Neodiprion lecontei: one gene and its partners. Each later gene encodes a partner of the first gene's protein in a complex. Links are inferred from orthologs where the notes say so. Each region holds a gene or a part of one and is shown in the gene's direction. Other genes may lie near its edges.

Evidence for each region.
Region 2: exosome complex exonuclease RRP44 (region 1) and exosome complex component CSL4 share a complex: the UniProt entries of both Caenorhabditis elegans proteins name them as parts of the RNA exosome complex. The link is inferred for Neodiprion lecontei from reciprocal best matches to the Caenorhabditis elegans genes dis-3 and exos-1.
Region 3: exosome complex exonuclease RRP44 (region 1) and exosome complex component RRP41 share a complex: the UniProt entries of both Caenorhabditis elegans proteins name them as parts of the RNA exosome complex. The link is inferred for Neodiprion lecontei from reciprocal best matches to the Caenorhabditis elegans genes dis-3 and exos-4.1.
Region 4: exosome complex exonuclease RRP44 (region 1) and exosome component 10 share a complex: the UniProt entries of both Caenorhabditis elegans proteins name them as parts of the RNA exosome complex. The link is inferred for Neodiprion lecontei from reciprocal best matches to the Caenorhabditis elegans genes dis-3 and crn-3.

What each region holds. Positions count from the first base shown.
Region 1 is NC_060266.1:26,348,199-26,355,927, forward strand, and holds the start of exosome complex exonuclease RRP44, read left to right. Parts: upstream 1-1,710; 5' UTR 1,711-2,047; coding exon 2,048-2,101; intron 2,102-2,194; coding exon 2,195-2,365; intron 2,366-2,453; coding exon 2,454-2,611; intron 2,612-2,689; coding exon 2,690-2,895; intron 2,896-2,991; coding exon 2,992-3,221; intron 3,222-3,315; coding exon 3,316-3,591; intron 3,592-3,763; coding exon 3,764-4,048; exon of another isoform or gene 4,049-4,183; coding exon of another isoform or gene 4,184-4,318; intron 4,319-4,428; coding exon of another isoform or gene 4,429-4,735; intron 4,736-4,792; coding exon of another isoform or gene 4,793-5,091; intron 5,092-5,182; coding exon of another isoform or gene 5,183-5,301; intron 5,302-5,410; coding exon of another isoform or gene 5,411-5,574; intron 5,575-5,663; coding exon of another isoform or gene 5,664-5,840; intron 5,841-5,905; coding exon of another isoform or gene 5,906-5,964; exon of another isoform or gene 5,965-6,245; coding exon 6,246-6,483; intron 6,484-6,577; coding exon 6,578-6,836; intron 6,837-6,918; coding exon 6,919-7,162; intron 7,163-7,253; coding exon 7,254-7,474; intron 7,475-7,691; coding exon 7,692-7,729. Other genes in the region: uncharacterized protein LOC107220859, read left to right, coding at 1-9; arp2/3 complex-activating protein rickA-like, read right to left, coding at 4,184-4,318, 4,429-4,735, 4,793-5,091, 5,183-5,301, 5,411-5,574, 5,664-5,840, 5,906-5,964. UniProt on the Caenorhabditis elegans protein: Putative catalytic component of the RNA exosome complex which has 3'->5' exoribonuclease activity and participates in a multitude of cellular RNA processing and degradation events. Has both 3'-5' exonuclease and endonuclease activities.
Region 2 is NC_060263.1:20,669,508-20,673,887, reverse strand, and holds exosome complex component CSL4, read left to right. Parts: upstream 1-2,107; 5' UTR 2,108-2,207; coding exon 2,208-2,244; exon of another isoform or gene 2,245-2,400; coding exon 2,401-2,516; exon of another isoform or gene 2,517-2,593; coding exon 2,594-2,842; exon of another isoform or gene 2,843-2,930; coding exon 2,931-3,012; exon of another isoform or gene 3,013-3,352; coding exon 3,353-3,465; 3' UTR 3,466-3,873; downstream 3,874-4,380. Other genes in the region: ABC transporter G family member 20, read left to right, coding at 1-286. UniProt on the Caenorhabditis elegans protein: Non-catalytic component of the RNA exosome complex which has 3'->5' exoribonuclease activity and participates in a multitude of cellular RNA processing and degradation events. Involved in regulation of antisense ribosomal siRNA production.
Region 3 is NC_060262.1:41,627,749-41,631,502, forward strand, and holds exosome complex component RRP41, read left to right. Parts: upstream 1-1,757; 5' UTR 1,758-2,033; coding exon 2,034-2,204; intron 2,205-2,287; coding exon 2,288-2,587; intron 2,588-2,673; coding exon 2,674-3,030; 3' UTR 3,031-3,185; downstream 3,186-3,754. Other genes in the region: protein cornichon homolog 4, read right to left, coding at 989-1,063; trifunctional enzyme subunit beta, mitochondrial, read right to left, coding at 3,369-3,413, 3,525-3,754. UniProt on the Caenorhabditis elegans protein: Non-catalytic component of the RNA exosome complex which has 3'->5' exoribonuclease activity and participates in a multitude of cellular RNA processing and degradation events.
Region 4 is NC_060263.1:36,947,468-36,953,895, forward strand, and holds exosome component 10, read left to right. Parts: upstream 1-1,713; 5' UTR 1,714-1,893; coding exon 1,894-2,031; intron 2,032-2,152; coding exon 2,153-2,398; intron 2,399-2,471; coding exon 2,472-3,998; intron 3,999-4,219; coding exon 4,220-4,809; intron 4,810-5,134; coding exon 5,135-5,291; intron 5,292-5,436; coding exon 5,437-5,505; 3' UTR 5,506-5,884; downstream 5,885-6,428. Other genes in the region: coiled-coil domain-containing protein 50, read right to left, coding at 1-243, 424-601, 833-950, 1,073-1,135, 1,244-1,301; pancreatic triacylglycerol lipase, read left to right, coding at 6,253-6,428. UniProt on the Caenorhabditis elegans protein: Catalytic component of the RNA exosome complex which has 3'->5' exoribonuclease activity and participates in a multitude of cellular RNA processing and degradation events. Involved in apoptotic DNA degradation.

The sequences.
Region 1 (7,729 bases):
GGCAGATAACAAAGCGAAACACACTCTAAGAAGACCGTAGCGGATGTAAAATATTTTGCTGCGTATATCTTACAGGAGGCTAGTATCTCGAAGGTTTTTCAATTTTTCAAGCATCATAGATCACTGCTTGGCGATAGTTGAGAAAGAAAGTTTTAGTTTCCTTTTTCGCTAAATTTTTATCCAATATTTAAACAAAGAATCGAATCGTTTGTCCATTGCAGTTTTCTCTGCTTCATTCAGTATTTTGAAAAATTTCCATTACTGTACGTGTTTGAAACATGTAAAGAGGATCTCAAAGGATAGCGGTGTTATTGCAGTGCTTCGATAACTTAACTAGGGGTTTAATTCCATCAACTGATAGAAGATGAAGTTAGTATATTGCGTAACGGGGAGTCAAACTCAGGTCTTTTCGGGCCAACCTCAAGTTTGCAATACGAGTTGTAGGTGAGTCGAAAATGAAAACATGCTCGCGTTATATAAATACATTCAAATATGTGCCATTCTTTATTTTGTGACACCATAATCGTTTCGTACTTAATTAGAAATTCATACTTCTGAACGTTTTTGAAATAACAGTGTGATATTTTCTCAGATTCATGTTCAAATATAGTATAACGAGAATACCTATTACGAGAATAATATGAGAAAATATTTTATTGCTTGAGATATATTCCCTTGAATCAAGAAAAGCTGGTGTGCATACAACTTACAGGTATTACCGCACGAAGTCTCAATTAATTACCATATGCGATACAAAAATTGAAATAACTGTGTAATGTATATAAATGAATAGATAATACGTGTAAATATAATATAAATAGGCATTTTGGAATATATAATAAAATGATATATAATTTCTTCGATAAGGTCTCATTGATTCATCATGTCGCAGTTATTGTTCGGTAAAAAACCTAGTATGATAATTGGACTTCGTTTTTCAACGAAATGAAAATAACGAGAGATTTATATAATTTTTCAGCTAGTTCCATTGACTAATTGCGGCGTGTACAATGTTCGAAGAGTGAAACATACGAAAAAGATGCGTAACCGAAATATTTTACTAGTAAACTATTCATCACTAACCTTTTAAAATCAAGCAAGTACTCAAAAATGCATCCAGGCAGCCATCACTCTATTTGGTCCTCAAAAACTGAAGGCGTTTGGAAGAATTCGATTATCACCAGCACTTGATTTCACCACAGCACAACACACTACTGTAGAAAACACCTTCGGGGCAATCTCATCTTTTCCCAGTAGAAAGTTTACGACGACGATTGCATCGTAATTTCGCGATTATCGTCGGGAAGCTCACAGCATCACTCGTTCGAAAAAAACATCAACGTACTATTCGAAAAAAGTCGAGAGAAACAAGTGAGCGCGGATAAGTTCGTAACTGAAAGAAAACACCTAAAATATTCACTGAGCACCACTTCTCAGTATCCTCAACTTATCCTACGTATCGTGATAATTATCACTGTTATCAACCACACGGGGTACCAATATTTCACGGGATTGAATTCTAAATTTCAGACGTATACCGGAATTCGACGAGAAACGACTCAATCGAATGTCGCGCGACAAATGAACGTCGCGTAACGACGGTAACAACTGAACGTCGGTCGGTCGCGTGATGGTGACACGTGACTCAGGAACAGGTCACCTGATCAAAACAAAGCAGCTGAGTGAGCTTCGTCGATCAGAAAATAAATCTCAATGAACGTAAAAGATGAATGAAAACCACTCTGTGTGCTGAATCATTTATTCTGACCACCTTACAGCTTACGCTACACAATAAAATGATAATAAATCTCTTATGGCGTCAATGATGAGCGAGAAACTTGAAAATTTCGTATTTATTTTCAATTTTCTTCCTCACGCATTTTTATCTGGGTTTAAATTTATCCGAAAAGATAATTGTGAATATACGGAGAGCTATACCCGCATCGTGCTAATTCCGTCTTCGTTGTGGTCAGAGAGGTTATGTGACATATGAGTCGTCGGCTGACGCTCACGTTAAGCGAAGCAAGAGTTTTAACTTATTTTCAAAATGTTGACTACGAAAACATTTTTCAGAAAAACAAAGAGGGGAAATATTCTCAAGGTTTGTTTAATCCGCAGTAAACGATAAGCGGTGTCATATATTGTGATTACGAATTTCTTGTGGTTATGTTATCTAATTGCACTTTTTACACAGATTGTCAGAGAGCATTACCTCAGGGATGATATATGGTGTGGGTCAAATCTGTGCTCAATATGTAAACACAAAAGCAAGGATTTAGTCCTTGATGAAGACCCTGAGTCGAGAAGTTCTTTATACCCTCAGGGACACTATCTTGTTCTGGATACCAACGTAGTTCTCGACCAGGTAATCGAGCTTTGAGTATCGGTCTTTAAAGAACTTTCAAGCAATTGAATAAGTAGCAAAATCTCAGTGGGTTTTTTTATTTTTTCAGATTGATGTTCTCGAAGAAGATGCTCTATGCAACGTCATAATTTTGCAAACTGTGCTTGAAGAGGTACGGCACAGAAGTTCCAATGTGTACAAAAAACTGAGAGACATTATTGGCGATCCTAAGCGAAAGTTTTACGTCTTCGTTAATGAGCATCATAAGTGAGAATCTTTGACTCTCTAACAAAAAAAAAATATGCCACAGGAAAGTTGTTTCACTTTTTCTCCCGAATATTTCAGGGATACCTATATTGAACGAGAACCACGTGAGAACGTAAATGATCGCAATGATAGAGCTATCAGAGTCGCTGCAGCTTGGTACCAGAATCACGTGAATGCGAGCAAAGGTGCTCGTAAAGAGAAGCAAAAGGTTGACGTTGTTTTGCTTACAGACGATGCCGCGAATCGAGATAAAGCGATCGGTGAAGGCATCAATGCTGCGTCGAGTAAGTATACTTGCACTATTGAAGTCATCGTTAGAATTAAGTATAATAAGGTCATTAGAATTCCCAACGAATAAAAACTGGAAATTATTCTTTCAGTGCAAGATTATGTTGCATCGTTAATTGACGCTGGGTTCTTACAAGACAAGCTGTGTAAGCGGAACTATGTTCTCGAAGGAGAAAGCAAGACACCGCTGTTTCCACCACACTTGACGCCTGCTCAAATTCACGACGGTATAAAGAGCAGGAAATTGCTACAAGGAACGTTCCTTGCTTCAAGGGAGAATTTTTTGGAAGGAAGTGTAAATGTCGAAGGATACGAAAAATTTGTGAGCTTTGTTTTAAAGTACTTGGACTGTGATTTGTCTGTTTACAATTGGTATCTTCTAAATTTCAAGCAATGGCCTTCGTCTTTGATCACAGATATTGTTGCAAGGAAAACTCGCACTGAATAGAGCAGTCGACGGGGATATCGTCGCTATAGAGCTACTGCCCGAAGATCAGTGGAGTGTACCCTCGGATTTAGTTATTCAAGACGAAGAAGAAGATCCTAGTGATTTGCTGGAAGATGAAACCGAGTTGAAGGCTATAAAAGTTCCGAAAAACATTCAGAGAACGCCTACCGGGGTTGTAGTAGGCATAATTAGACGGAAATGGCGACAATACTGCGGTATTCTGCAGCCCAGTCTTGTGAAAGGGGTGAGTTTGCTGCTAGTTAAATGATTGCAATTGATTTTATCTTACCACATATGTGTAAATACAGTATAAATCTGCTACATCTTGCACAAATTATCAATGCTGAGTCCGGCATTCAAATTTTAATATTTTTTCCGTACCAGAGTAAAAATATTCCAATGTTTGATTTTTGCAGAACGTGAGGCACATGTTCGTTCCGGCAGAGCGAAAAATCCCGCGAGTAAGGATCGAAACTCGTCAATCTGAGAATCTGAGCAAGCAGCGGATCATAGTCGCGATAGACTCTTGGCCCCGCAACTCTAGATACCCTTTGGGCCACTTTGTCAGAGCACTTGGTAACATTGGCGACAAAGAAACAGAGAACGAAGTCCTCCTCCTTGAGCACGACATTCCTCACAACAGATTCTCAGACGCGGTTCTCAGTTTTCTTCCAAAATTACCCTGGCTGATAACCGAGGCGGTGAGTACTGATTTTTTATTTTATTTAAACGACAGGCAAGCGTGAGTCCTTTCTCCATTATATCTTCTTCCATTTATTTTCTCTACTCTCATTCCATTTTCACCAAGTTCCAAGAATTCACGGAAACACCGCTTGTCATTGATTTTTTCTCAGGATGTATAATTCAATTTCTCGCATGTCGTCCGACGCGTTCTCGGCATCCTCAGCGTTGCCTAAGGTACTATCGGAAGTAGGAAGGGTTGCGGCTGATCGAAGTTCTCCAAAAAGAGCCTGCGAACAGAAATGAAACGTCGGCGGATTCCAGGGTTTACCGGAGCCCCTTAAATTCCAGTTCACGTGACGGAGGAATAATTCCAAAATCTAATTCGTAGTAAACGAACTTGCAAAACCGTTCGCATTTCGTTATGGAACTCGAAGCTCAGCCCGCCAGCTCCGTTATTGTCCACGTTATTATTCAGCAGAGTAACTTCGTGTACTTCGTTTCTGGCGGCAGTGCTCGGCCCGCTAATTGAAGATAAAATGTCGTGATTCGAACTGCTCGCGGCTCCCAACAGTGTCGCCGGGTATAAATTGGAAGCCAAAGTGCACCTCGGTAGTTCACCGATGGTCAGGGGTACCAAGGACAGGTCCTCGACGTTCCCGGCAACGACGCATCTTCTCTCCAGATTCTCATCCCGCCTCTCGAGTCTATTGAATTTCAAATCTTACCATCAACCTCGTGGTGGAAATTGTCTGGATTCTTACCGGCGACGTCTTTGGATCGACAAACGTTGCGCGTGCGATCTCTTCGGCAGGTGTTGCGCCACGAATGGTGCCACAGGACCCGGTGCGGAAAGCGGTGGTGGCAGCGGCGGAGGCGGAGGTGGAGGCCTCGATGGGGGTGGAGGCGGCGCGCAAAAGGAGGGAAATGGAAGTGGAATAATTGACTTCTCTTTTGGACGTTTATCAGCCTCGTTAACACCACTCAGGGGGTGAAAAGCTTGCGTCTGGTTAAGTTTTCGCGTTACCAGGACGCTCAGGTTCTCCAACGCGTGCTGTTTATTCTGGTGACAAAGGGAACGTTTTTTTTAGACCCTCATGTCCCCCCCGATTCACATGCTCATTATAGAGGTGGCGGAAATTTCTTTCGTTTACTTTTACGTCCGTCAGTATTCCCTCCAATATTTCTGGTTTCTGGCTATTCTTCACACTTTCCCAACGCGAAAACATCGGCTTATCGTACAGCGCTATAGTACATTCCATTTCCCGTATCTCTGTACCAGATTCAATTATTTCAAAAGCCTTTGATTATGTCGCATCAATAGATCAACCGATTGGAGCATAACGGAGTTTTTACTTTCTCTCGGTTATATTTCAACTAACCGTCATCCCGCAATCTTTTCAAGATCTTCGTCACTGTGATTTTTTCTTTCCTAACCGATTTTCTTTGCGCCTTTAGCTTTTCCACGTTAGCCACAGCCTCTTTAACTTCCGCAAGTATGCTTTGCAGCTCGCTCACGCTGCTCTCCAACCGATTTCTTAGAATGCTGAAACGATGTATAAGAGCTGAATAAAGAACGGCTCGTATGAGAATGAGAATAAAAATATGCGACGATGATATATAATTAACGCTCACTTGGGGTATTCGTAAGTAAGGAAATTCAGATCTCTGACGCTCAAAATGTACTTGATAAATTTGTCCAATTGATTGCAGAAGGGAAAGACGTCTGTCAGTGAAACATTGCGGTCCACGTCGAGGCTGGACCGACTTTCGCCATTCGATTGATCGTCCATAGTGACATTCGTTTTATTTCTGGAATCCAATCCCACGCTTATTACAATTCGGGTCTATTTAGCGACAGGTGCATTTATTTTTACCTAGGAACCGGGATTGACCTTATAAACTCCCAGAAATATTGAGAATGCGTGTTTTTCATTGGAATCGTTATAGAGTTGCTCCATATCTCGCGAAATGTAACGGCGTTCCCAATCTTGAATTAACAGTCCATTTTGTATGCTGTGAAACTGTGCGGCCGTCGTCTATTGCCTGAATTACTGAGCTAGGAATGATAATTTTTAGTTCAATACTTTGGCGTGAGTAAGAATTTTGCCATTACTGGCAAAACAAGAGAGCGGGAAGCGTGTCAAATGTTGGTCCAAAGCCTACTGACAATTAGCAACTCGACTGACGCCTCGTTCCCCGATTTTTGTCCCTCAGGACGTTACCCAACGCGTCGATCTGCGGCACATAGACGTTTGCTCGGTCGACCCACCGGGTTGTACGGACATCGACGATGCCCTGCATTGTCGGGAATTGGAAAATGGGAACCTTGAGGTCGGGGTCCACATCGCGGACGTTTCTCACTTCATTCGTCCTGGAACCGCGCTGGACAAGGAAGCCGCGTCACGTGGCACCACCGTCTACCTCGTCGACAAGAGGATCGACATGGTTCCGGGTAAGGGGATTGCGCAATCGTTTGCAACACGCTTCCTTTGTTCGTTAATTCTCTGCCGTTATTGATTTTATTACCTCCCTCTTATCTCCCGCAGAACTACTCAGCTCGAATCTCTGCTCTCTTCGTGGTAACGAGGAGAGATTCGCGTTTTCGTGCGTATGGGAAATGGACGAAAAGGCTAATATAATAGACACGAAATTTCACAAGAGTATTATCCGATCTCGACAAGCCATGACTTACGAGGAGGCTCAGCTCAAGATTGACGACGAAACGCAGCAAGATTCCATTGCCAAGTCGCTGAGGGGCCTGAATAGTTTGGCTAAAAAATTGAAGGCGAAACGTTTTGAGAACGGGTAAATTTTACTCATAACTCGCATAATTATTTTATTTCATAAAATCATTGATATCCAAATAATACGGAAATTATCATTGCAGAGCGTTGGTTTTGGCCTCACCGGAAATCCGGTTTGAGGTAGACAGCGAGACCCACGACCCCATAGACGTTCAGGCGAAGAAGCTTAGGGAGACTAACTCGATGGTCGAAGAATTTATGTTGCTTGCCAATACTTCCGTGGCAAAAAAAATTGTTCAAGATTTTCCGGAGTGCTCAATGCTCAGACGACATCCGGAGCCGCCTCAGGCAAACTTTGATCCACTCGTGAAGGCTGGAAGGAACCGGGTTCGTTGTGGAAAAAAAAGAGAAAAAAAATCGGGGTTATCTTGCCGTTTTTAATTTTTGATTTTCCGATCCATTTTACTGAATTTTTTAGGGCTTCGTCATAAATACTGCGTCCGGCAAGGAGCTCGCAACTTCTTTGAACGAGGCTCACACCGAGGATAACCCGTATTTCAATACGATGCTCAGGATACTGGCGACTCGGTGCATGATGCAGGCTGTTTATTTCACCAGCGGAATGTTGCAGCCTGAAGAATACTTTCATTATGGTCTTGCGTGTCCGATTTACACGCATTTCACATCGCCAATAAGAAGGTGAATGCAAATAAAAATCCGGTGAAGCGAAACCCCGCATTTTATTTATTGTATTCTGTTTGTACCGGGACGTTGACTTTTTTCGAATCAATATACCGCTGCTCATGGTCAGTTGAACAAATTCCAATAACTTGGAAATCTTCTCGCCTCCGAAACATGGCATTTGAATCAATCGTTCACCCGTAATATCCGAATATCTCGATTTTCGGCACTCCAGGTACGCAGATATTATGGTTCACCGTCTCCTCGCCGTGT
Region 2 (4,380 bases), on another chromosome or scaffold:
TGCCTGCGACAACGAACGAAGCGCAACTTACATGGCGATGGGTTCTTTTCTGCCAATCGTCATGCTCTGTGGGATCATTTGGCCAGTCGAGGGGATGAATCCGGTCCTCAGATACATCAGCTTTATCTTGCCGTTGACGAAGAGCACAGAGTCGATCAGGGCAATGCTCGGTAAAGGATGGCCCATATCTCAGCCAGCCGTTTACGACGGTTTCATCTCCACGTTCCTGTGGATAATAATATTCCTCACATTATCGATATTGCTGATTAAGTTCAAGAAGGGTTAATTATGTAGGTAAATCAATTGGCGATCCTCCTCATCGCACCCCATCCTCATTGTACTTTGTTTAACTAGCGCTCATCTACAAGCGACGAAACTATCAAGGCGTTTATTTAAATCATGCAAATTGTTATTTCTATGGTAGAACCTAGCTTATCCGACATTCGATTATCCAAGGTTCCGCATTATCCAAGAGGCCCATCTCATCCGAGCACTCTGCATTCACCAATGTGTATATCTTCGGATAATACGGAGAACCTTGGATGAAACTGAACAATCCACTGTGCCTTATGTGTATGAAATAGTTTTGTGTCGCATCTTTATTTGAATACGGATAAACTTGTAAAAGTTTCTTGCGATTTGTGACATTGCGAGCAATAATCGCTGCAGTTCCGATTCTGGAAGCTAGGGTAAAACATCGTAATGGCATGGATTGTACATGTTTTCCGTATTATCAGAAATTTCACGCATCCGAGTTATGCTCTCCCCATATTACCTCGGATAAACCAGGTTCTATTGTATTTCTATCTTCTTTTTTCACATCAACTTCGATTTGCTATTATTTAATTTTTCTTCGCAACAGCATCGATAATGCGATTTAAAAGATATTTTCGACCGATCAATTATTGTATAAATTATGTGATTTACTGATATAGCGGATTATTTATAGGGTATCACGTATCTACAGTCGATTCAATAAGTTTTATGTATACACATATCCATTTTTGTTTGATACGTATAAAAAAAAGTATTCAACGCATCTCAAAGTGACGATGTTGTTCCAACGTGTGTGAATAATATAGTATGTAATTCAACAAAAAAAATTGTACATTGAAACGCAATTGAATAGATATTACTATACCTATTATGTGTACTTGTGAGCTATGTGGACTCCTGGAATCGAGCTTATATTTTGTATAATATAACAATGTGTAATAAAGAAGGTAATTAATTATATAATCATAATAATGCGTTTGAAAATATGTATCTGAGATACTAATGTAACCCACTGTATACATTTTTTCAAACAATTACTTCTATGATCATGTCATTACTTGTTTATACAGGTGACTTTCTTTTAGTTCAATTCAATAGTTTGTGTAGTCTGTGACTTTTAAGTTATAAGTAGAAATATGTTAATTAATATGTACATTTGATAATTACGTAATGTTGTAGCATTGCAGCGAATAAACTGTCATAAATGTTATGTGTCAATTATGCGACTTGCTGTTAGTATTCAACAGGTTTTCCGCGTATGGTGGAGTAAAACTTTCAGTGCAAGCACCATAAATTTTAAACAACAGAAGAACATCGAGCGGTCTGAAGTAATGTACGAAACCTTTTCAAATTAACGCGGACTTCCGGTTATACAAACTGGCGGGAGAGCAATTTAAAAAATTTTAATCACTAATTATTTTTAACAATCGCAACGAAACTCGATCAAATTTGATCAACGATTTCTTGGAATCGGTTCACATCTTGCGAGATTTATAAATTGGAATAATTTTCTATTGTTAGAATTTCGAACATTGATGACGGAAACTTATTAATTTGTAGAAATGAAGGAGGCGGCACTTTTGAATTGTTCATTATTTTCAACCTTTACAATTTTAACATTGTCATCCAGGTATTAAGAGCTAATTACTTAACCCCTTTTCCGCGGTATTCCGAGACTTGACTGAAGTCAGTCAACGTTCCAAATGATTGGTGCGACGATGATTTACATGGATTTACATTTAAATCATATCGATCAATTGATCATTTGCGATTTCGAGGCTGACAAAATTCTGTTTACAATCCAACCAATCCAACCAATCCAACTACAATATGACAACCCAACCTAACCTAATTTCAAACGTGCTCCACATGTTGTCACCGTTGTCGCAATTTGAAAAATAATAATAAACTTACATAGATTCAAAACTGAAATGGACGAAAGAAATGAGCCAATAGTGTGTGTTCCAGGTAAGGATGAATGAATTACGAAATCGATAAACATTTCCCAAGTTTTCTACGCAGAAATGTCCCAAATGAATTGGCCCGTCCTATCCTCAATTACGTTTTGTTTGTATGCAAATTAAAGGTGGTTAAGACTCATGATAAATTTTTATTGCAATCCAGGTCAGAGGCTCTGTTTGTCGGACAAAGTAAATGTTCCAGGACCGGGAACTTACGAGCAGCACGGATATATTTATTCAAAATTAGCAGGAGTGGTGAACTTGGTTAAAGATGAACACGTACGATAAGTTTTAAGATATTTCACGGTCGCTTGCCTTCAGATTAAACATCATTTCTCACTTTCTATTATCAATAGAAGAGCACAGTTGAGGTGCACGGCATAAGAGAACAAAGCATTGTCCCAGCTCCCGGAGACATTGTAACAGCCGAGGTAATGGTCGTTAATCAAAGGTTTTGCAAATGCGTTATAAAATGCATTGGGGATGTGGTTTTGACCAGACCTTACAGAGGCATTTTAAGAAAAGAAGACGTCAGGGCTACGGAAAAAGATAAGACTGAAATGTACAAATCTTTTAAACCAGGAGATATTATTCTGGCTAGAGTTGTATCCTTTTTCTTTGAAAATTTTTTTCTACCGTTCGTTATCAATACCGCAGTTTCATAGTTGGCTACTTTTCCCATGCAAAATTTAGTTACCTCTCACCGAAGTCCATACTTATCAACTTTCCACTGCCGAGAATGAATTGGGAGTCGTTATCGCCCACAGCGAAGAGGGTAAGCAGAATTATTTTTTTATAGCGGTAGAAAAATGTCAAAGAATATATACGCTATAAAATATTCAATAGCTCTCAGCTCTCAGTTTGAAGATATGTAAAACAAAAAATCAGCACAATACAGGTTTTCATCTTTGTGTCATAACCATTTACACTTCATTTATCAAAATGAAATCGTTTGGAAAAATTACCGCCTTAGACTCGAAATGGAAGTTTTATTGTACTTTTTAGGGTGAATTGAGATTAGTTGCTGTGAAAACAAAATATCACTATTTGGAAATTATGGATTTTGTTGAGTAAAGGGTTAATGTAGAAAATTCCTCGTTTTTTTTTTTATACAGGTGTATCTATGGTGCCTGTAAGTTGGACGGAAATGCAGTGCCCAGAGACCCTAAACAAAGAATTGCGCAAAGTAGCTAAAGTTGTACCGGAGCATATCGTTAATGAAAAATAAAATAAATGTAAATTGCATTCATAAACGGACTATTCATTTTGCCAATGTGCCACAATGAATAGCATAGTTGGATGATTGTGTAAACTGGGTTAAACATATAGAATCAATATTGTCTCAATTTCTATTGAAATGCTTATAAGGAACACTAATTTTTGTTGGAATGTCAAGTACTTTATATTTATATATATACATATATAAATACGTACTCATATATTTGGAGTAATTTTTTATGTACATACATTGTAGACAGCTTTTGCCTGTCGAGTTGCAATAATACTACAAATTACTTATCGTACATTAGAGAAAAAAAATTACACTTCACTAGGTCATTCACAAGGTCAATCTCAAACTTTACTCCTCAATCCATTGAGTAATTCAATTCTTTTGTTATTGCACATAAAATGCAGAGTTCACAGAAAAAATATCCTGGAAGACTCACTTGCTGCAATTTTTTTCCTCCCATAATTCAGTCTTGTTGTGTATTGCAATTTACAAAATCCACAAAGAATGACCTTCGTTTCTTTGTGTTAGATCCCCAACACGTTTAATTTTCGTTTATTCTTTTCAGTGACAGTCAACTCAAAATACTCTCAAGCATTCTGTAACGATACTAACATGTTCGATTTCTTTTCCCAACAAGGATACACTGATAAATCAAACCTGGCTACTATTTGAATGTGGTGAAAAAGACCAGTGAAATGCGATGGAAAGAGTTTCAGGCGAGAGAAATATCTATAATATATTTACAAATAATAGCATAAAATCTAATTATAAACGGAATAATTGGGCTGCACCGAATTGATTTACTTTACAGCCGCGTACAATGGTTTTCACAAATTTTTGAAAACTTCCAATGCGAGTGTGCTAATTGAAAAGAGTGTGAAATCGTATATACGATATTGTTTGTGAAGTTGC
Region 3 (3,754 bases), on another chromosome or scaffold:
GAGCAATCTCGACACGAGAGGCGCCGCTTTAGAGCTTGCGTAATATCTGCTTGCATTAATAACTGCAAACGACGGTGAGATAGACGTTGAATTGAGCGATTATTTAATATAGGGCTATTTTTAATTTATGTACTGCGACAAACTCGTGGCTGCTACCAATTCTCAAAAACCGTGCGGGTCGTGAAAGACAAATAAACGATATAAACTCCCCTGAAACTATGCAGAATCTATTTAAACAGAGATATAAACGGAAAGTCGTCAATGTCAATTAAACAGGTGCGTTTTGTAAGACTATTTATTCAAGACGTTTTCACATCTATAAATATATTTCGAGTTTTCATCTTCTTTTATCTGTAGGTTTCTATTATAAATCATAGACAAGATATACTTGTACGTCATATACGTTGTACATGCATATTGCAGGACTGATTGTTAACCAAAACGAAGCCACGATATTGGTGTCTTCTATAAGCCTATTAACATTTTTGCTGCCCAACACAGAACAATGGAACTATTTCAACGACATATTTGACGCGAGTGTTGACGGAAGTATGCAGACGGTTACCGCTGAAAAAAAAACATTTCCAGACCATTACTCAGCGGGTAAGTGGGCCTAGAGCCATAAGAATCCGTGTTAGCGATCCTTTTTTACCTGCGGGAGCTGTTTAACACTCAATCTCGTTAGATACACAAAACCCAGTTAGGGCAACCGTCTTTGACAGTCTTCAGTCATCGCCGTGGGTTTCGTTGCAGACTTTGAATTGGCGGTTATTGCACCCTACTACTCCCTGACGTTTATTTAGGGTATTCTAAGGCACCATGGGCGAAACATGACAACGTGAAATTCCCTAGAAATCTTGGACTACGTCAAAGCAACCGAGTAAACATCAAACAACATACACCGAGATGTTTATGCAACGTAAATTCATCGATAACGTACAGCGTAATATAACGCTAATCAAAAAGCATTACAATTAAAAAAGGATACAAAATACACAAGCAGAAAAAGCACAGCGCCGGTGTCGAATAGAGCAAACGCGAACAACAGCGGCTCGGAAACCATGATTTCTACACGTAATTCAGCTGTCAATAAGTTCTCAGATTAGAACTAAATTATATCGGGAACAAGTTTGATTCGGTAAGCGTAACACCAAAGAATTAAATCTTTGTTTTTACAGAAAAGGTGTGGGTAAATCTATAAACTACCGACTGTCGTGGGACTGTCAAAGCCTCGTCAAGCACACTTCACGCCTCTTGCCACCAAGCATACCACTTGGCCGAGAAGAAAATGCCCTAGAATCGCAGAAAACCTTCGAGGCCGCATTGGAAAGCGACTACCGTACTGTCAGTGGATTGCGTACATTTTTCAAGGCACAACCATAGACTTATAAAGGGCACAACACCTCACATCCACTTTGGCTCTAAAGGGTGTGTTTCGAAGTTAGCTCCCAGTGCTGTCAATCATCTCTTATCTCTTTTGCGCTGCCGAGTTCGTGGGTAAATCTGCGTCTGTTCAAGGGATTTCTAGCGCTTCAAACTAATTACTAGCGAATTTAAACATGCTGATCATGCCTAAGCACAAATTTGTGCGCTTAATTTGAACACTGAATAATATTATTTACATGAACCTGATTAACTTTCCGTGCGCGTTCGGAGGGCGAAGTGGGCGAACGCTAGTCGATAATCTTATATCTTAGTAATTTGACAGTGCTGCCGGTACACGAACGCGTTTGGTAAGTGTTTCGTGGGTGTCGTTGGGCTTTCCATCTTCGTTTATTCCGATGATTCATGTTACCAACAAAACATATCTTTACTTACCGTCGAACACCTAGCTCACTTTAGTTATTAGTGTAGCCATGGTATAGCAGGAAAGATTATGGTCAAAGCCGTCAAAGCCTCACGAAAGCGTGGTTGAAAGGCCGAGACAAATTAGGTTGGGCAAGATCGACAACAAACGGGTACACCACGCGATTCTACAATCGACTAATTGTAAAAGGAAAGTGATACTGAAAGTATACAAAGTAAATTTCGCAATGTCTGGCCAAGACTTAGTGTCGGACCAAGGACTAAGAGTCGATGGACGACGAGCAAATGAGTTGAGACAGATTCGAGTTCGAATGGGTGTCTTCGGGCAGTCGGATGGGAGTGCTTACCTAGAACAGGGCAACACAAAAGTTTTGGCTGCAGTGTACGGGCCCCATCAGGTTATTTCCTATAACGTATTTCAGTTGTTCACATCCATAATTCTCTTAACTTGCTCATTGACAATAACAATTGTTTGCTACAGCCAAGAGGAGGGGGGCGTGGTGGGAACAGAAGTGGCACGGGAATTATAAATTGCCAGTACAGTATGGCTGTGTTCAGTTTTAGTGCCGGTGAGCGCAAGAAACGACCACGCGGTGATCGCAAGACCCAAGAAACGTCTCTGCAGCTACGCAGGGCTATCGAAGCTATTGTACAAGTAGAACTGTACCCTCGCTCTCAAATCGACGTGTTTGTCGAAGTCCTTCAGTCCGACGGCAGTGATTATTGCGCAGCAGTAAACGCAGCGACTCTCGCTCTAATCGACGCTGGTATTCCCATTAAGGTACTTCTAATAATAACTTCTTACGCACTGTGCTTTTACTGATTTCTACTATAAAAATAATGAAATTTGATATGCTTTACTTACAGGATTACTCTGTAGGATGCACAGCAACGATAGCCAGCATGGGAGCTTCGGAAGAAGTTGACAGTAAGGATGAAACAGGATCTGGAACAGGAATAGTTGATGCAAATCATATGGAGGAATGTACAGGAGCGACGACATTAACTGTCGTTGCTTTACCAGGAGCCCCTGGCTCTAATTATGAGTCAGATACCGACAATTCCGGTTTAGTAGTCGTGGCGCAAGGAACTGGTGCACGACTCCATCTCTCCAGGCTCGAAGGGCTCAGGCAACGGGCGTTGCAGGGCTGTCGGGATACAAGGGTGATTCTTGATCAAGCAGTTAGATTCCATTTAACGACACATGATCCTCATTTTATTTAGTACTATGTTTAATTCATCCCCATATTTGTTTTACTTATATATGTGTGTATGTGTCGTCAGCTATGCATATGAAATGAACTAATGAAAATTTGAAATGGATCATGATTTATTGTACTATTTCATTACGCTTTTTTTTTCCTTTTTTCAAGGTGTAATAAATCTTAAAAAATATATACATGTACACATTTATATAACAGATATCTCCGACTGTAAAAATATAAATTCGTTCTTTCAGCCTAGTTTTGAAAGGGTTCGTACTCTTTTGCATTTATAAAACGTTTAATGCAGTGTATCGTATTTACGAATAGAAGATTAGAATAGTTTATTCTGCAGTTCCGTTAAAGTTTGGCATCTGGGTGTCTCTCCAGTATCATTCCAACTCCCTGTAAATAAAGATAAATGGTTCATCCGTCATTGATTACTGCAGCGCATGCCAGGCTTGAGGATCCAAGAATTAAAATTTGTGTATAATAAAATAAGAAATCATTGCTGACCTGACCACCAGCAGCGCAGGCAGCAATTAGCCCGAATTGTTGATCCTCTCTGATCATGCGGTTTGCTGTGTGAGTTGCTAATCTAACTCCAGTAGCGGCGAAGGGATGTCCGATAGACAGAGAACCACCCCAAGCATTCCACTTGTTGATATCTGGCACACCAATTTTACCTGATCTACCCATATATTTCTGTGCAAACCAATCAGAATCCATGGCTTTCAAGTTTGCTA
Region 4 (6,428 bases), on another chromosome or scaffold:
CTTTTCAATAGCATTCTGCCCCTCGAGTAGTTGAAGCTGCTGTTTTTCCAGTTTTTTTTGCTTCGCACGTTCTCTTGCTCTTCGTGCTTTTGCACGTTCTTTATCCTGTAGCATTCGTGCTAATTCTGCATCCTGAGCTTCCATCGCTATCTTCTGGTCAATTAGCAGCTGTTCATCTATCATAGAACCTTCACCCTCTGCCGTAGCTTCTTCTTCTTCCAGTTGTAACTTTCTTGCTAATTCCTATTCAGCATAGCATAATGATAACGTAGATAAGTAAAATTACCATAGACATCTTTGAATAACTCAGTTTTATGTGATTTTTATATTATTCCAGTATCATACAGCACATGTGGGAAACTACCTCTACATCAATTAGTATTGAACAAATATGTACGTGAAATTCTTGTTTCTTTATATTACCTGATCTTTTTCTTCTTGAATCCGCTTTTGCATCTCCAATTCAGCTTCTAGCTGCGCAGTTTCATCGTCGAGTCTGAGCTGCCGTCTCATTTGCTCTTGCAACATTCTTTCTTTCTTCCGTTCCTCACGTTCTAAATTTAAAGCAATTTGCTTTGCAACAAGTGCATCTTTCTCTTCCCTGTTGGATAATTCTTCATCAATTCTTCGGTTACAATGTTTCATTTTGACAAAAAAAATACCATGTTTATGAAAAAATAAACTTGAAAAACAGTAAATCAATTTTATGTGCAATTAAGTTTAAAGTTTTGTTTGCACAACACATTTTTGCACATCAATAATATAAGTATAGAACTATTTGAAAGTCGATCATGAATCCATATGTTTTCAATTTAAAAATAGTTTCACTAACTGTTGTTGGATAATGCATTGATATCTAAGGGCTTCAAGTTCTTGTTCAACTTTGGCCTTAGGTAAATCCTCGCGTACTTGTGCATTGCGAACCTTGTTTCCTGTGTAGTGTTCTTTAACTGTAAACAACAAAGGAGATGAGAGCCATTGTTGGTTATCGTTTACGTATCACAGTAAATTTCACGCAATTATTACCGTGGTTGAGACTGTAATAATATTGGTCATGACGAAAAAAACTTACTCTCCTCGTCCTGTAGTCTGTATGCCAATGCTCCATCTTCGTGTACCAGCCACTCCCGACAAACTGTAACCGTCGGAATTAACATTAACTCGAGAGGAATTAGCCGCAATTACGGCGCGTCTTGAAAAGTGACAAGAGAAAGCTTGAAGACTCTGGATATATTCAACTAACCTTCGTTTACTCTTCCTGCCTTAGGAAGGGTATCTGAACTCAATACAGACTTGGCCATATTTTTGGTTTTGATTATTCCTTGCGCGTTTTCTTAACTCTGCTCACAAACAATTTTCGTAGACAACTTTTCTTATTTACATCACCTTATGGGATCGCTTTGTTGTTCGCACCATCTTGAATATGCATTGTATACTACAGTCTGTAATCACTGTTCACACGTTTGTAGATACAACTACAAGCGTCATTTCACATTCGAGAATGGATAGTAGTGTTTACGGAAGGTTAGGTATAGTATGGTATAGTGCGTGAAGAAGCTATTGAAAATGTTTAATACAGCGACAGCGACAAGTCAGACACACCGATTGGCTGGCAGACTCATGGAAAAAATAAAACGTCAGATTAGCCAATTACATAGCTGTGGTTTTAATGCAAATCGAAGTATGACACTTTGCAATTTTTACAAATGAAGTTGGTCGCAAGGCCCTTACACTCAACATTTATGTATCAAGTAGTCAGACTTCAAGCTCACTTTCCTCACTTTCGAGACACTGGTGGCGTGTGTAAGATATAACCCTAAAACTAGGTACCCTTAACCTCAAAAGTGCATAGAAAGTTTCGTCACGTTTTTATTGACGACATTCGTGGAAAAAATGAGCACCGACACGAGTATTGAGCCTGGTCACAAATCTCGTAATGATTCCGAACCACAGGATGAATCCGCAAATGCTCAGGGTGTGGAGGTCATCGAAATCCTACCAGGGTTCACAAATTTTGATGATTTCGTTAATGTGAGTGTCACAGCTTCTAATCTCACTATACGTATTTAAAACAACTAAAACATAATGATTTATGTTGGTCAATTTTCTCATTTAATCGTCTATGCTGATCGTAATCAAATTATTTTTCCAGGTTGGATTTGAAGCACTAAAAACCGGCATAAAGGCCGCCAACGGCTTACCCAGTGGTGAAAAATATGACTACTACAAATGTTTTCCAACCTTTCGTAATATCATTAATGAGGAGATCAACAACGTTTTGGTCTGTATGCAAAACATTACAGAAGGTGTGGGAGTGAGAGGCAATATCAGACGGCGTGACATAGAAGAGAAGTTTGAGCTTTTGATTGAAGCTAATGATATTTTATTAGAGCGAGCAGTAAGTTGGCAACATCAGAAGAAAACCATTTACCTTTGGTTAAGGAAAGTAACAGAATTTAATTTATTTTTAGGGAATATGTATGGATGAGGCCTCAGGAATTCTGCGAAACCCAGATGTCGAATTTGTTGTATCGCAAAGTAACTCGACAGCTGTAAGCGGCAGCTGGAACAATCTGTCCTTCCATTCAAAAACTCAGCAAACTCAACCGGCAAATAAGGCTCAAGCGATTTGTTTACTGACGGCAAAGAATATCCAGCGACCGCAGTTGAAGTTTGAAGATAAAATTGATAACAGCATTAAACCTTGGCAACCTAGAATAAAGGATAAACCAAACTCATTGAAGCCACTCGCTCTGTATGTCGAAGAAGATGAAGATGGAGAATTTTTCAGCCATCCATACGAATTTGAACTTGATAGGTTTGAAGCACCTGAGCATCAACTGGAGTCTCGTGTTCCTGTTGAATATAAACATATAGACGACACTTCTTTAATCGTGATTGAAAAACCTGAAGATATAAAAATACTATTGGATGATTTGAGTAAATACACTGAGATTGCAGTTGACTTGGAGCATCATTCTTATAGATCATTCCAAGGCATAACATGTCTAATGCAAATATCAACCAAAGATACGGACTATCTTGTCGACACATTATCACTTAGATCTGAGCTGCACCAGCTTAATGAGATATTTACGAAACCGTCCATTCTTAAGGTATTTCACGGCGCTGGCAGTGACATCGAGTGGCTGCAAAGAGATTTGTCTTTGTACATTGTAAATATGTTTGATACTCATATTGCGGCCAAACAGCTTAATTTGCCATACCTAAGTTTGGCACATCTTATGAAGCGGTACTGTGATATTGATCCGAACAAACATTTCCAACTGGCCGATTGGCGAGTCAGGCCTCTACCTGAGGAGCTGATGAAATATGCAAGGGAAGATACTCACTACTTGTTGTATATTAAAGATAATCTTATGAATGCATTGCTGGAACAGGCCAATGGCCAAAGCAATATCTTGAAGGCAGTGTATGATCGAAGTACAGACGTATGCAAAAAGATATACAGAAAACCAGTCTGGTCGGAGGAAAAGTGTATGAATCTGTATCGAAAGAGCAAGAAAATGTTCAACAATAGGCAATTGTACGCTCTTAGAGAACTGCATAAGTGGCGAGATGCTACTGGCAGGGCAGAGGACGACAGTACTGGTTACGTTCTACCAAATCACATGCTGTTGAATATCGCTGAGAGTTTACCCCGTGAAATGCAGGGAATTCTGGCATGTTGTAACCCCATACCCCCTCTGGTCAGACAAAACGCATTATCGCTTCATAAAATAATCTTGAAAGCAAAGGAACAACCAATGATCAAACCTATCCTAGAAGATGATATCCGACAACGTATGACGCAGCGAAATCAAGTTACAGATTTAGAAACTACACTTCTATATTCACCTCATGATATGCCACATGATATGGAGATCAGAGCCGATTTACCTTGTTTGTTGGACCTAAACAGCTCTTCAGAAATTAATGTTACCGAACACACGATTCCTCATACTGTCACTGTATTTGACAGCCCCCCACAATCGGAGGTTTGATAACAAAAAGTGTACTTTAAGGGAGAATCTTACCCTGCGAAACTTGAAATAGCAAATGATTTCACAATAATTGCAAAAATCTAATTAATTCAGCTCTAGAATTCAATTGACTCAGATTAGGATTCTCCTATTAATTAATTTGATCAATTCATTTTCATCACTTAATTTTCTCAAGTACGTCTTTGAGGACATTTTTTTGCTTGTTTTTTTATTAGGATGAAAACACTGCGGGGCACATTACGAGAAAAAAAAGACGAACGCCATTCATCAGTCCTTTTGAACGGTATAAGCGTGTATTACCCATGGTAGCTGCAGAAGAGGCAAAAGAAAGAGAGAGACAAGAAAAAGAAGAAGCTGAAAGAATAAAATTGGTAGAAAATAGTGAAAACGAAATAGCAGAGAGTAAAAACAGAGTTTATAAACACTTCAAAGATGTGGTTGGAGCAGTTACTAATCCAATCAGCGTACAGCAATCCGCTGGTAGCAGTTCGAATCAGTCTATTGATTCTAAACAGTTCGGGCCTGACCACAAAACTTTGAGCCAGATGCAGGGAAGAAAACGTAAACGACAATCTAATTATCATGATGATACTAAACTGACAGAGTCGCAAGATGATTTATCGACACCGCTACCTTTCCTGCATAAAAAATTCACTCAAAATTATAGACGAGATAAACGAGAGTTGAATTCACCCACACAGGGTGTAAAGAAACAAAAGAAATCATACCACGATACAGGGCACAGTTCTTTCACTGAAGATACGGAACTTTCTGCAAATAATGAATTGTCTGTCAAATCACTCAGGTAATACTTCTACAATTGCGAAAAAACTATTTAGTGAATTTCTTCATTCATTTTGTATTGTGCCATTATATACACGCTTTACGATTCCAGCTTACTTCAGACTTGGAAAACTGTAAAACCGATTCTTATTTATTAGACCCAGAAAGTTTTTCCTGGTGCTACAATTTTTTCATGCTATCATCTATAGATAATATCGTACTTTTTGAACAAATAACAGAGAATTTTTTAAGTAACCTTGTAAAATAAGTAAATAATCCACCAAGCATTGTAATGATCAATTAGAAAGATGGTTTGTAAGAATAATATAATTTCGTGTATTTTTCAGAAACAATAAGAAGAAGAGTAAACAGGAAAATAAGAGAAATATGAAAGAGAAAGGTATTCTACCTAGAGAATCATTTGATTACAAAAATGTCGATTTCAGTAGTTTTCAAGGAGGCAGCCGCGCGCACAATCAGATTCCTTTCCAAGCTCAGAACAAGGTGAGTTGGCAAATTCGTATGGGTACAGCACTAAATTACTATCTATTGTTGTACAATTGATCGAATTCTTTTAATTGCGAGTGGAAAAGGTAGAAGCCCACAGCACGAATTTATGTTTACTCAACGAATTCCACTTGAATTTCAGAAAAAGAATGCACGAGGAAATCGAGGGAAAGGAAATAGAGGTAATAAGAAGCAAAAATGGAACTGCTAACCCCGTGGGTTGGTAAAAATTAAAATATGGTCCGAAAAAGGGTCACTTCTGTAAACTGAAGTAAATGATATATCGGGAATATTGGATGAAATTGAAAGCTTACACTACGTGAGAATTCAATCCTACTGTGATGGGACGGGATACGGAATAATCGTGATTAGCGCGAGTGATTACTTTCATAAAATATTCCGTGAATTAGACGTCGCATACCACAGCATATAGAACCATTCATCTTATTTGAATTTCTTTTTCTTTTACGTTTCATTCTTAAATACAAGTATCCATGTACCAATTATTGATATTATTGGTAAGATTGTCTAACTTTCAAACTGTTCAGAATGGTTTTAAAACAATAAAACGTTTCAAATATGAACATCAATCGTTTACATTTCTTACAGTGAAAACTGTGTATTAATGTCCCACATTATAAACTAATAAACTAGATGGTGGGTTTGGATACAAAACATTCTTTCATTATGATTCATTTCATCAGTCGTGAATAGTAATTAAGGTATTTGCTTGTTTTTCCCTAAATTAGGTCTACTCTTTTGATGAAATGTCAATTTGTGCATGGTATTAGCCTGGAAACTAGACAAACTAAAAGTTGAGTCATTTCCAGTGGTATTATGACAACATTCACGTGGATAGTGTATCACATCATAGCTTTCCGTCTTATCTGCATATTTCCTTCTAGATAAACAAAATATCAATCGTGGTCAGTGCGTCAAGAGCAACACTGACCTTAACATGAGTGCGTTTAGCATAATTATCTTCGGTATTGTGTCATATATGCTGTTTATTAACAACAATTGCAGTGCTACAATTATCAGTTCAGTACAAATTAAAAACGGTAGCTTAGTAAGATCTCATTGGCATGGAATTAGTAGTCTTACTCGTGAACGATTCAATATTTCTGGTATTAT